2 linked regions of the Arabidopsis thaliana genome follow. The protein of the gene in region 1 purifies or fractionates together with the protein of each later gene. This does not show direct contact. Each region holds a gene or a part of one and is shown in the gene's direction. Other genes may lie near its edges.

Region 1 (4,175 bases):
TTTGATCAAAAAAAAAAAAAAAGCTAAAGCCTAAAGCATTTTTAGAAACATTTATTTTGCTTAAAATGAGGTATGGATGAACATAAGAATTTTTAACAAATGGGAAGGCCCAATTATGCTTTCGATCAAATCATATTTATTTTGACATTTAATCCAATTATTATTGTATAGAAATGTGAGTTGCAACACAAAGAAAATAGTTCACATTAAAATAAAGAATTTTGTCAATAAATTAAAGACAAAAACAAACTACAACAATTTGTAGCGATGTGGCGAAAAAGTTTGATCACTTTATTATAAGAGGTCAGTTTTTTTTTCTTAATAAGTGGTATGTTGATATATAGTTTTTTTTTCTTTCACATAATTCAGGTTACTAAAAGTTTTATGAACAGTTTTGCTGTCAAAAAAAGAAGTTACATTAAAGTTTTATCTAGCTGTCGTAATTTTATTGGTGTGAACTACTTTTTGAAGGTAGCATAAAATCTACAGAGAAAATTTGGTGGGCAATCACTAAATGATCTTTAAGTTCAATCAATGATACTATTTTCTTGGTTATTAATTCGGCGTTTTTATTTTAATATTTCAAGTATCTAATATCCATTACCACAAATTAAACCGTGAATTTAATCATTTTTCGTCGTTGATATGAAGATATTATTTTCTGTAAATAATTTCTATACAATGTTATGATTATGGGCTTGATTGGTTTTCCCTCTGCCACCCACATCGTTTGTGGGTGGTAGCGGTTGGTAACGATTAATACCAATCATAGAAACGGTTAGATACCACTTTGGACCGCTCGAAATCGTCAGATTTCAAAAGCTCATTTCCGCAAGCGTTTGCGGTTGCGGGTGGAAGCGGTTAGGTTAAAAAGAAAAAAAAATCTTTTTTTAATTAATTAAAATAATTTTGGCTTCCACCCAAAGCCCAATCACTATAATTAAAATAATCTAGTTCTTTTATATTTTATTTTTATTAGAAAATTCTAATCAATATAACCCTATTCTCTCAATTATGGCATCCATCCAAACTGATGAAAATCAAAATCAGGAATTAAACATATCATCTTTCCCTTTATCTATTCATTAGCTAGTGTAATTCTTTGAGTATTTCATAGCATCATTTTTTTTTATTTTGTATTCTTTTGAGTTTTTTAATTGAATACATGTTTCGATTTGTTTTCTCGATTAGAAAATCATTTGATCAGACGAGATGATATATTGTATTTTTATTTCTTTTATCAAATTTTTGAGATGATATATTGTATTTTTATTTGGTCAAAAAATCAAAATTTCTAATATTATCAATTTATCATAATAATATATTGCATTTTTATTTTTTTTAATAGTAATATATTATATGTTTTTGTTTAGTTTTATTAATTATTACCGCACCCGCTGGTTTACCAGTCATAAAACTCCCGCAAACGCACCTATTATCAAACGCTTATCCAGTCGTTCAAAACGCTTGATAACGCTTAAAACCGCAACCACCGGTTTCCGCAAACTTCCGTAACCGCATCCACTCCGTTTAAACCAGCCAGGCCCTATATTTTGCTTCTTAGTCAACAGTATAATTTCAAGTTAAGAAGGAAAAAAAAACTCTTAAAGGGCCTGAGGCCCGATTAAGTTAAGCCCAAAACTGAAAATTAAAATAATAAGCCGCATAAAGTGAATGGTGAAGAAGAAGGTCTCATTGGGATTTAGGGTTTAAGAAATCTTCCGAGAAAACAGAGAGACAGAAAAATGGTGATGATGAAGAAGATGAAGGGAAGCCAAAGCTTTAGACAAAGACTTCTTCTTTCAACACTTTCTTCAACACCTATCTCGATTGATGAGATTCGTGCCGACGAAACGATTCCTGGTCTCCGACCTCACGAGGTTAATCTTCTCCGCCTCTTAGAAATTGTCACCGACGACGCCGTCGTTGATATTAACGAGACCGGTAAGTAACCTTTCACCTGATTTTAGGGTTCATGACTTCAGATTTACTGATTTTAGGAATGATATTGAGCTGAAGCTAAAGTTTCACCAATTTAGGGCTTCAAATTTTGTATCTTTCAGCTAGGTTTCGATTCCAATCATGTTTGTGTTTCTGAAAGCAAAACTTGTAGAAGAAGAAAATGATTTTTAAAAATTCGAATTGGTTTGTTAGTTTTTTAGTATGTTGCGAATTTGGCAGGGACTCGATTAAAGTACAAGCCTGGAACTATAGTGGGAGGGAAGAACTTGGTTCACAGCTGCTCGCTGAGTCGATCCATTGGCTATTATCTTGAGCCATTGCTTTTGTTGGGATTGTTTGGAAAGAAGCCTCTTTCGATTAGGCTCAAAGGTATGTACCTTCTACTGTAAAACTGCTTTCAAAAGCATGTGGATATTTGATGATCGAGTGAGCAAGTATTTTAACTCTTGCAGGAATTACAAATGATCCAAGAGACGCTAGCGTTGACACATTCCGTTCCACTACCTTGAATATCATAAAGCGTTTTGGAGTCCCTGCAGAAGATTTGGAGCTGAAAATCGAAGCCCGTGGAGTAGCTCCGAATGGAGGTGGAGAAGTTCTCTTAACAGTTCCAAATATTAAGACTCTAAGTGTATGTAGTACTTGTTCTCTTTTCTTCTTCCGCATTGCAAGGTTCAAATGGATTTCTTATCTGTTATATTATTGCTTCAGGCGGTTCATTGGGTAGAAGAAGGAATGGTGAAGAAGATACGTGGTACAACTTTCTCTACAAGAGTGACTAGTGACTTTGAACATTCCATGAGATTCGCAGCTCGTGGTATCTTTAACAATCTCTTGCCTGATGTTCACATTTTCCAAGATCACAGAGCTGGCGCTCAGGCTGGAAAGTAAGAAGCTTAACTAAAACCAAAAGCAAGAGATACTTGATTGATTAAAGCTCACCTTTTTAAAAAAACCTACGTGATTGCAGATCTCCTGGATACGGAATATCATTGGCAGCAGAAACAACTACAGGATGTTTCATCTCTGCAGATACAACAGTGTCTTGTGAAAGACCAGACGAAACTGGAGAGCTCGATGTAGAGAAGAAAGAGAGATCGCCAGCAGAAGACACAGGAGTTGAAGTAGCTTCATGGCTTCTTCAAGAGATTGAAAAAGGTGGAGTTGTTGATTCAACACACCAGGTACGTTTTAAAATTTGAAAACATTAACCATAGACACCAAGATCGATCAGACTTTAAGTGGGTGTGTTGTTGATTCTCTGAGGTTTTTTACAGGGATTGTTGTTTCTACTGTGTGCGTTATCTGAACAAGACGTGTCAAAGGTTCGAGTTGGAACATTATCTCCATATGCAGTGGAGACGTTGAGGAACATTAAGGAGTTTCTGGGAGTTAAGTTTGCCATCAAACCTGATCCATTGACTGGGACTGTTATACTCAAGTGTACTGGAAGTGGCTTAATTAACCTCTCCAGAAAGCTCTCTTGATTTCTCACTCACAGTCACCTTTTACAATTTTGTCTGAATGAAAGCGCTTTTCTATAATTTGAGTGGATGTGTATTTTTGACCTAATCATAATGGCAATTTGCATTTAAATTTATGCATTTTTTACTTTAGATCGACCCTTGTCTGATATAAATTTATGACTATTATTTGTTTACCTTAAGACATATCCTAAAAGAATACTTAATTTATAAGGATACAACTTGTATACAACAGAGAAGCAAAGAATGGGGCATGAAGTATTTTTTTCACTCTTTCTGTATACCTTTTAAGCTCAGGCTTGTCTGGTAAAAATGGCACTCAATTGATCTCCTGGGATGAATTTTAAAAGGAGAATCACAAAGCAGAGAGTTCGACTTCTTGAGTGGAAGGTCGATAAGCTACGAATGTGCTATCAGTTGAGAAAGAGCCTGGATTGAAACATGTTGTTCCCCCAAATTTGCAAACCTCTTGCTCACTCTTGTCACCTAATACTATCTGTTTTGAAACAACAACAATACTTAGTTATAAGGCGGGTTTCGTGCAGGATTTGATATAGAAATGAATACCGTATGAGGAGTTGGGTACAGTCGAAGAGCGTGATCGTAGTTCCAAATGATGGGTTGCACCATGAGAGGTAGAGGACATAGATGGCTCTGATGAGTTATTGTGTAGACAAGCTGTAACAACACGTTTCAGGAGTTTCCATCATTTACCAGGAAAACTTTTAA
Region 2 (7,367 bases), on another chromosome or scaffold:
TCTTCTCCAACAAATGATGTACAATATATAGTTATTTCTCTGATTTCTCTCTCTGACCAAATTTCTTTCATGTTGTAGCCTGTTGTACGTACCCGAAGAACAACTGTTCCTCAAGCAGAGGATTCGAAAACACTAAATGGGATCTTGAAGACGTTTTCAAATGGCACAAATCCAAAGAACATCACTAAAAAGATAGGACCTGACATTGTTCAGATCCTCATCGGCCATGCCTTTCTGGTAACACAATAATACCTTTGTTTCTTCTTTCACGTTCTCAGAGCTTTTTTTGGCCTCCTAATGTATTTAACTATTCGTCAGGCTCGGCTTACATTCTCTGACCCTCACGAAGGAGACTCTATTTCAGAGATATGCAGTAGTATCATCTCTGCATTTACTAGTCTAAAGCGAGTAGATCAGTAAGCTGCAGTTTCTTTCACTCTCAGTTTTTTTTCTCTTTGTGCAATCGAGATACTATACCGCTTTCCTTTGTCCAACCGAAAGTTTAATGGTTGTTATAGGAAAATCGAGATTCTACCGTTTGGGAAAGAAGTGTTGTTTACTGCAGGAATGGTACTCAAGGCAAAAGCTTAAAGCATCTAGGAATCAAGATTTTAACAAATCTAGAGACTTCAATTGGATTAGAAGCAAAGAAGTTACAATGTAATGTAGGAATTAAGAGTTACAGATCAATGAATTATGAATTTATATATTCTATAGTTTTGCCAATACAAAATGAGTGATCTTATGATTCTGTTGATGCCTTTTTCTCACTTATGGAACATATCAAGACTTGCTTTAGTAACAAATCCATGCCTGATAAGTTTATGCAAAACAATCTTGGCTTACTTGGTGGATTGAGGTGAGTCGAGCTGCATCGTGACCGGACCATCGTTTACAAGATTGACCTTTGAATATGATTAGAGAACATGTTTTAATCACACAAGATACTAATCAAACCTTGCTATTGAAAGGAGTTATCTCCTTACCTGCATCATAGCTCCAAACACACCATCTGTATTTTAAAAAAGAGAACCAATTTAGTCAAGAAGACTAGAGAAAATGAGAAGTTTTGATTAAGAAAAGATCAATGAGAGTGTGTTTTGACCTTTGACAGCATCAGGATTATATGCTTTCTGGAATTTCTCAACTAAAGAGGCGTAAAAAGGTTTCGCTTTATCAGGTGGCATTGCGACATGAAAATCTGGTTTGTTACCTTTCAAGAATCCGTATAATGTGAATTGACTAACTGTATTAACACACATGATCCAAAGACCAGGGCAAGCAAAGAAAACAAACCTCAGTACATAAACCACAAGCTAAACCTTTCTCTAATCAAATGGTATATGAATAATAAAGAGATGCATCATTACCAAGTAAAACTCCATAATTCCTCTGCATTACCTGCAACAAACAGCATCAAAATTTCCATTTTTTCAAATAACTTGAAAAACAAATTCATTGAAACAAAACTTACATTTTGGTCCCATCCTTTGCCAGTGGTTTCATTAGAGAATAATCTCATGTTTAAAACTTTTCGACATCTATAAACATGTTTCAACTTCAGAATCTGCAAACTTTATAATGAAAATTTAAATGGAAGCATTCATCATTTTGTACAAGCATACATGTAATCAGCGTCAGACTCGGTATCTGATTCATGGATTCCAATTAGTACCAAGAGACCAGGACCAATCTCCGATACGATTCGACCATCCACCGTAACAGAGGAAGATGAGACTCTTTGGATTACAGCTCTCATTGCTCTGATCTGACAATTCCGACGGTGAAGTCGTTGACTTTGGTGGCGTAGATTACGGCGGAGGAGAAAAGGTGAGAGCTTGTTATGGAGTGGTGGAGTAGTGTGGGAAGAAGAAGCAAGACGATACATTTTCTTTTAATTATTAAATAATCCCAAGGAATGGTGAACATATAACCGATATCAAACCGAACCAAATTGATTTTTTTAAATTGAACCGAAATCATTTAAACCAAATGCCTAAAATTTAGACCCGAACCTGTTAATCGCCGGCAACCGTGTCGCCATCGGCGTTAACAACGAAAAGCACATAAGAGAGAAAAAGCCTTCTCATAAACTGAAATAACTGAAGAAGGCAAAGCTCTTGGGCGAAGAAAAGATGGCGTTTTGGAAACCAGGGACCGAGAAACCTCGTTTCGAAGAGGATGGAGAAGGAGGCATAGTGTTCATGTCCAACAATCTCGCATCCTCTTCTTCTTCTAGGTATGCTAATTTCTCTTTCTCTTTGATCTTACTTGTTCAGCAGATGATTGTTATTGTAACTTAGTCGAAATTGTAGCTATGGGTATGCGAATATAGAGAAGCAAAGACAGAGATTGCCAGTGTACAAGTACAGAACTGAGATTCTGTATTTGGTGGAGAATCACGCTACCACCATTATCGTTGGCGAGACGGGTAGTGGTAAAACTACTCAGATTCCTCAGGTTTCTTCTTCATTCTTTGCTCTTCGTTAATATTTTTGGGGAAAGCACCTAGCTTTGCTAATTTCAAGGTTCTTAGACCAGTAGGCAAATTTTGATAGGAGTCAAAGGTTGCGACTTGCGAATTTGGATTGTGATAGTAACTTGCTGATATATTTGCAATGTAGCTAGAGAGAGGCATAAAAGTTACTCAAAATCTTGCAAAATCATGCAATATTTAGCTCAATAGCTGTTGGGGAAGTTGGAGAATTGGAGAAAACTACAATTCGATCAATAGCAAGGTCTTCTTGTTTAGCTCAATAGCTTTGTTTATTATATTTTGTAGTACCTGAAAGAAGCTGGGTGGGCTGAAGGAGGCCGAGTTATTGCTTGCACACAGCCAAGACGTTTAGCTGTCCAGGTTTGTTTTCTCTCCCTAAACAAAATCTTACAACTCAAGTTTGAACTTTGAAGAGTGATATCTCAGCTCAAGTTTTTATATTTGATCACATATATGCTTTGTTTTGTAATTTGCTTAGGCGGTTTCTGCGAGAGTGGCCGAGGAAATGGGAGTGAATCTTGGGGAGGAAGTTGGCTACACTATTCGATTTGAAGATCATACAACTTCCGTCAGACTCTTTCCTTAACGCTCTTCTACTTTTTCTTATGTATGGAGTATTCTGATGATGCTTACAAGATCTTTTGCTTGGTTACAACAGGGTGTGACTAGTGTAAAATTTCTCACAGATGGGGTACTAATTCGAGAGATGATGGAGGATCCCCTCTTGACAAAGTATAGGTAATGATTTTGTTGCACTGTATAATCTGTTCAGATTATGAGTAAATCGTGTTGGTAAAACCTTTTCTTATTTGTCATTGTGCAGTGTTATTATGATAGATGAAGCTCATGAGAGATCTATTTCAACTGACATTTTACTCGGTCTCTTAAAAAAGGTATCTCAGTCAAACACAGTCTTAATTGTTAGTGTACTTTCAGCAACATCTATTTATTATTGATTTTCAGATACAACGTCGTCGTCCTGAGCTACGCCTGATTATATCTTCAGCCACAATCGAAGCAAAAACCATGTCCAATTTCTTCAATTCCAGGTTCTGATCTTACCGAATGGTTATAGTTCTTTTTCCTGAAGTTTAGGGCTCTTGGAATCACTAGTACGATATAATCTTATACATTATGTTAAATTATGTAGCAAAAAACGCCATGCGCCAGAAGGTAGTACCCCTGGACCAAAGTTGGAACCTGCAATCTTATCTGTTGAGGTATATTGTGACTCTCTTGCGTAAGATCATTCTCTGATAACCTATTTTCCTATGTGATATTTAAATATTTTTGTTTTCTTGGTCAAAATTTCTTAGGGCAGAGGCTTCAGTGTGAAAATTCACTATGTCGAGGAGCCTGTATCAGATTATATCCGATCAGTTGTTTCAACGATACTGTTGATTAATGAACGGGTACTTTAAGTTGATGTTCTTATAACCATTCAATGTGTTCAAACTTAGTATATTATTTTCCAGGTATGTTCTTGTATTTAAATTGTCTCTTCTTATGTTCAGGAGCCACCTGGGGATGTTCTTGTATTTCTTACTGGTCAAGAGGATATTGAAACTGCTATTAAACTTCTTGAAGAAGAAGCTCATAGCAATCAAAAGAATTCTTCAGGTATAATATATACACATAAATAAGATCATGTCGATCAACTTTAGCATTTGCCTTCAGTTTTTAAGCACCATAATGCAATTCATATCTTTTTCAGGACTGCTACCTCTTCCATTATATTCAGGACTTTCTCGATCAGAACAGGTTAATTTTGTTGCAAGGCTCTAGACAATCTAAACCATACTTTTGAGAGTATTTGAATAACTGAAACGGCGAAATGTTGTTTTCTCCTTTTTTATATTAGGAATTGATCTTTACTCCAACTCCCAGAGGAAAGAGAAAAGTTATACTATCAACAAATATTGCAGAAACTTCATTGACTCTAGAGGCAAGGATTCTTCTTTACTGTCTTTTTGTTGCAAAATCCCATGGAACGAACAGATGTATTTCTCATACAGATATTGCTGATACATCATTGAGAGTAACTTTCTGTGTCGTTTCTTTATTCAGGGCGTTGTCTATGTGATTGATAGTGGTTTCTCGAAGCAGAAGTTCTATAACCCAGTAAGTCCATCTCCATTTCTTTTGTTTATATATTTTTAGTTCCATCTTTTGTAATATGTTGGACATTTCTAAAGCAACTTACATTTCTTACCCTCACAGATTTCAGATATCGAAAGTCTTGTGGTGGCTCCAATATCAAAAGCATCTGCAAGGCAAAGGTCTGGTAGGGCTGGGCGAGTTCGGCCTGGGAAGTGTTACAGGTAACTCTCAATCCGTTTATTAAAGTACAGAATTTCGTCTGATATAGTTGTTTAGTGCTCATTAATCCTCTTCCTGATATTTTTATGGTAACTAGGCTTTACACCGAAGATTATTTTCTCAACCAAATGCCTGGAGAAGGCATACCGGAGATGCAGAGGTCGAATCTTGTTTCTACTGTAATACAGGTACTAGACTTGCTCAACTCTTGTCATTTAGTTTTTTTTTATAAGAACTCAAAAGTTGGGAGGCGTTACGCAAAACCACACAAGTTTTTTCTTTTCACCTTTTCTATTAAGTAATTAATATCCAGATGAGAGGAAGCTCTTGCTTCTAGATTTCTCAAACTCTGTTGATCTTTTTGGTATTTTCAGCTAAAAGCTTTGGGCATAGATAATATCTTGGGTTTCGATTGGCCTGCACCTCCATCGTCTGAAGCAATGATTCGAGCACTTGAAGTACTTTATTCACTTCAGATCCTCGATGATGATGCTAAACTCACTTCGCCAACAGGATTCCAAGTTGCAGAACTTCCACTGGTACTTTTTCTTCCTGACCATGAGCTATTATATATCTAAAATGTAATGTTCATTTGCAGTTTGTTCTGCATATTACATGTCTCATGCTCGTCATTTTTTGCTAGGACCCAATGATATCAAAAATGATTTTGGCTTCAAGTGAGCTTGGTTGTTCACATGAGATCATTACAATCGCTGCAGTTCTCTCTGTCCAAGTAAAAGCTCTTTACCCCTTTTTCCTTTGCTTAAAGTTTCTTCTCTTTATTTACATAAGGAACAACCGAACATATTGCAAATTTGTGATTATTTGCTTTCGACTTGAACTATGGGATTTGAAACTTAACAGATGCAATCTTGAATATGTTTCTATGCAGTCTGTTTGGATCATTGCCCGGGGAGTACAGAAAGAACAAGATGAAGCAAAACTGAGATTTGCAGCCGCAGAGGTATGTATTGATATATAACTTTGAGCTAACTATATCTCTGAAAATCTTTTTTTGACTGAGTAAAATCATTGTTCTTGTCTATATAGGGTGACCATGTCACATTCCTGAATGTATACAAAGGGTTTCTTGAGTCGAAAAAGCCTACACAGTGGTGTTACAAGAATTTCCTCAACTACCAATCCATGGTGCGTATAATAACAGAACAGGCAAGTAGTCCTTATCTTCCCTTCTCCAATTTAATTTGTTTTTGTTTCCTTTCACAGAAAAAAGTAGTTGAAATCAGAGATCAACTCAAACGGATTGCTCGGAGATTAGGCATCACCTTGAAATCATGTGACGGAGACATGGAGGTAAGAAACTGTAGCACTTTGCTTCATTTGAAAAAAGGTTGCATGTTTCTAACGTTACACTGTTTCAGGCTGTGAGAAAAGCTGTGACTGCAGGTTTTTTTGCCAATGCATGCCGTTTAGAAGTAAGTGACCCATTTCAGTTCTCTTTTTCTGCACATCCTTTCAGCCCTATAAAGAAATCTGATTTTCATCATCTTAATTCTTTTCGATGTTTTAGCCACACAGCAATGGAGTATACAAGACCATTAGAGGCTCTGAAGAAGTTTATATTCATCCGTCATCTGTATTATTCAGGTTAGTAGTATATCTTGTTGCTATGGATTTAGCAAAAACCTCAATAACATCTAAAAGTTGAAGATTTTTTCTTTTGAACGTGAAAGCTTATTTGGTATATATACTCTTTATACAATCTTCAGGGTGAATCCAAAATGGGTGGTTTACCAATCCATTGTCTCAACTGAGCGTCAATACATGCGGAATGTCGTCACCATCAATCCTTCTTGGCTGACAGAAGTTGCTCCACACTTTTACCAGAACCGGCAAAACGCTATGTCCTTCTAATCAATAAGTTATCACCTGCGTTTCAAGATATAGTAACAGTTGATCCTGACAACGTTTTCTGATAGCTTTATAGCCATAATCAATGCAGGAATGTTTGTATGTAGTTACACAAATATAAACAGAGTTCTATTGAGTCTATGATTTGAAGTTTGAACAACTCAACTTAATGAATAAAGCATAGACTCTATATTCAATCAGATTTGCCTGTTTATAGTTTTGGTTCTTCTCACCGTTTACAGAGTAGAAAAAGTTAAAGAAAAATGATCACAGAATCGAATCTCCTATTCAGCTGAAAATCTCGGCGAACTTCTCGGAAACTAGAACTCCTGAATCAATAGATTCCAGTGGATCTTTCCTCAGACGGTGCCTTAAGCAGTTAGGGATAACGGTTGCAACATCATCTGGAGTTACTCGATCTTTTCCTTTGAGAGCTGCAAGTGCTTTTGCTGCTCTGTTAGTCACTATGTCTCCTCTCAACCCATCAACATTGAGCTCTGAACAAACTCTAGAGATCTTCACCTTCAATTCCCTATCAATCTGAACCGAGGAAAGGTTTGCCCTAGCAGTTGAAATCTGGTCTTGAAGCTTGTCCTGCTCGGTTTTGTAAGTGTCACGGAAATCCTTTGGGTTACTATCGAAACGAGCTCTCTCTTCAACAATCTTGACCCGTAAATCA

The links. The genes of interacting proteins can lie anywhere in the genome.
Region 2: the proteins of AT5G22100 (region 1) and AT4G18465 fractionate together in Arabidopsis thaliana (co-fractionation; one large-scale study listed by BioGRID). This does not show direct contact.

Annotation. Positions count from the first base shown.
Region 1 is NC_003076.8:7,327,270-7,331,444, forward strand, and holds AT5G22100 (RNA cyclase family protein), read left to right. Parts: upstream 1-1,600; 5' UTR 1,601-1,745; coding exon 1,746-1,944; intron 1,945-2,181; coding exon 2,182-2,331; intron 2,332-2,414; coding exon 2,415-2,593; intron 2,594-2,673; coding exon 2,674-2,849; intron 2,850-2,932; coding exon 2,933-3,146; intron 3,147-3,239; coding exon 3,240-3,449; 3' UTR 3,450-3,661; downstream 3,662-4,175. Other genes in the region: DPB2 (DNA polymerase epsilon subunit B2), read right to left, coding at 3,802-3,942, 4,014-4,124. UniProt on the Arabidopsis thaliana protein: Does not have cyclase activity. Plays a role in 40S-ribosomal-subunit biogenesis in the early pre-rRNA processing steps at sites A0, A1 and A2 that are required for proper maturation of the 18S RNA.
Region 2 is NC_003075.7:10,194,921-10,202,287, forward strand, and holds AT4G18465 (RNA helicase family protein), read left to right. Parts: upstream 1-2,033; 5' UTR 2,034-2,135; coding exon 2,136-2,239; intron 2,240-2,315; coding exon 2,316-2,460; intron 2,461-2,782; coding exon 2,783-2,857; intron 2,858-2,975; coding exon 2,976-3,065; intron 3,066-3,155; coding exon 3,156-3,235; intron 3,236-3,320; coding exon 3,321-3,390; intron 3,391-3,460; coding exon 3,461-3,546; intron 3,547-3,647; coding exon 3,648-3,717; intron 3,718-3,813; coding exon 3,814-3,909; intron 3,910-4,011; coding exon 4,012-4,117; intron 4,118-4,211; coding exon 4,212-4,258; intron 4,259-4,358; coding exon 4,359-4,442; intron 4,443-4,564; coding exon 4,565-4,618; intron 4,619-4,717; coding exon 4,718-4,818; intron 4,819-4,913; coding exon 4,914-5,004; intron 5,005-5,190; coding exon 5,191-5,355; intron 5,356-5,459; coding exon 5,460-5,549; intron 5,550-5,708; coding exon 5,709-5,780; intron 5,781-5,866; coding exon 5,867-5,965; intron 5,966-6,043; and 9 more. Other genes in the region: SNI1 (negative regulator of systemic acquired resistance (SNI1)), read left to right, coding at 79-237, 319-416, 519-591; AT4G18460 (D-Tyr-tRNA(Tyr) deacylase family protein), read right to left, coding at 843-905, 987-1,012, 1,106-1,246, 1,371-1,401, 1,475-1,541, 1,626-1,759; CHLI1 (P-loop containing nucleoside triphosphate hydrolases superfamily protein), read right to left, coding at 6,977-7,367. UniProt on the Arabidopsis thaliana protein: May be involved in pre-mRNA splicing.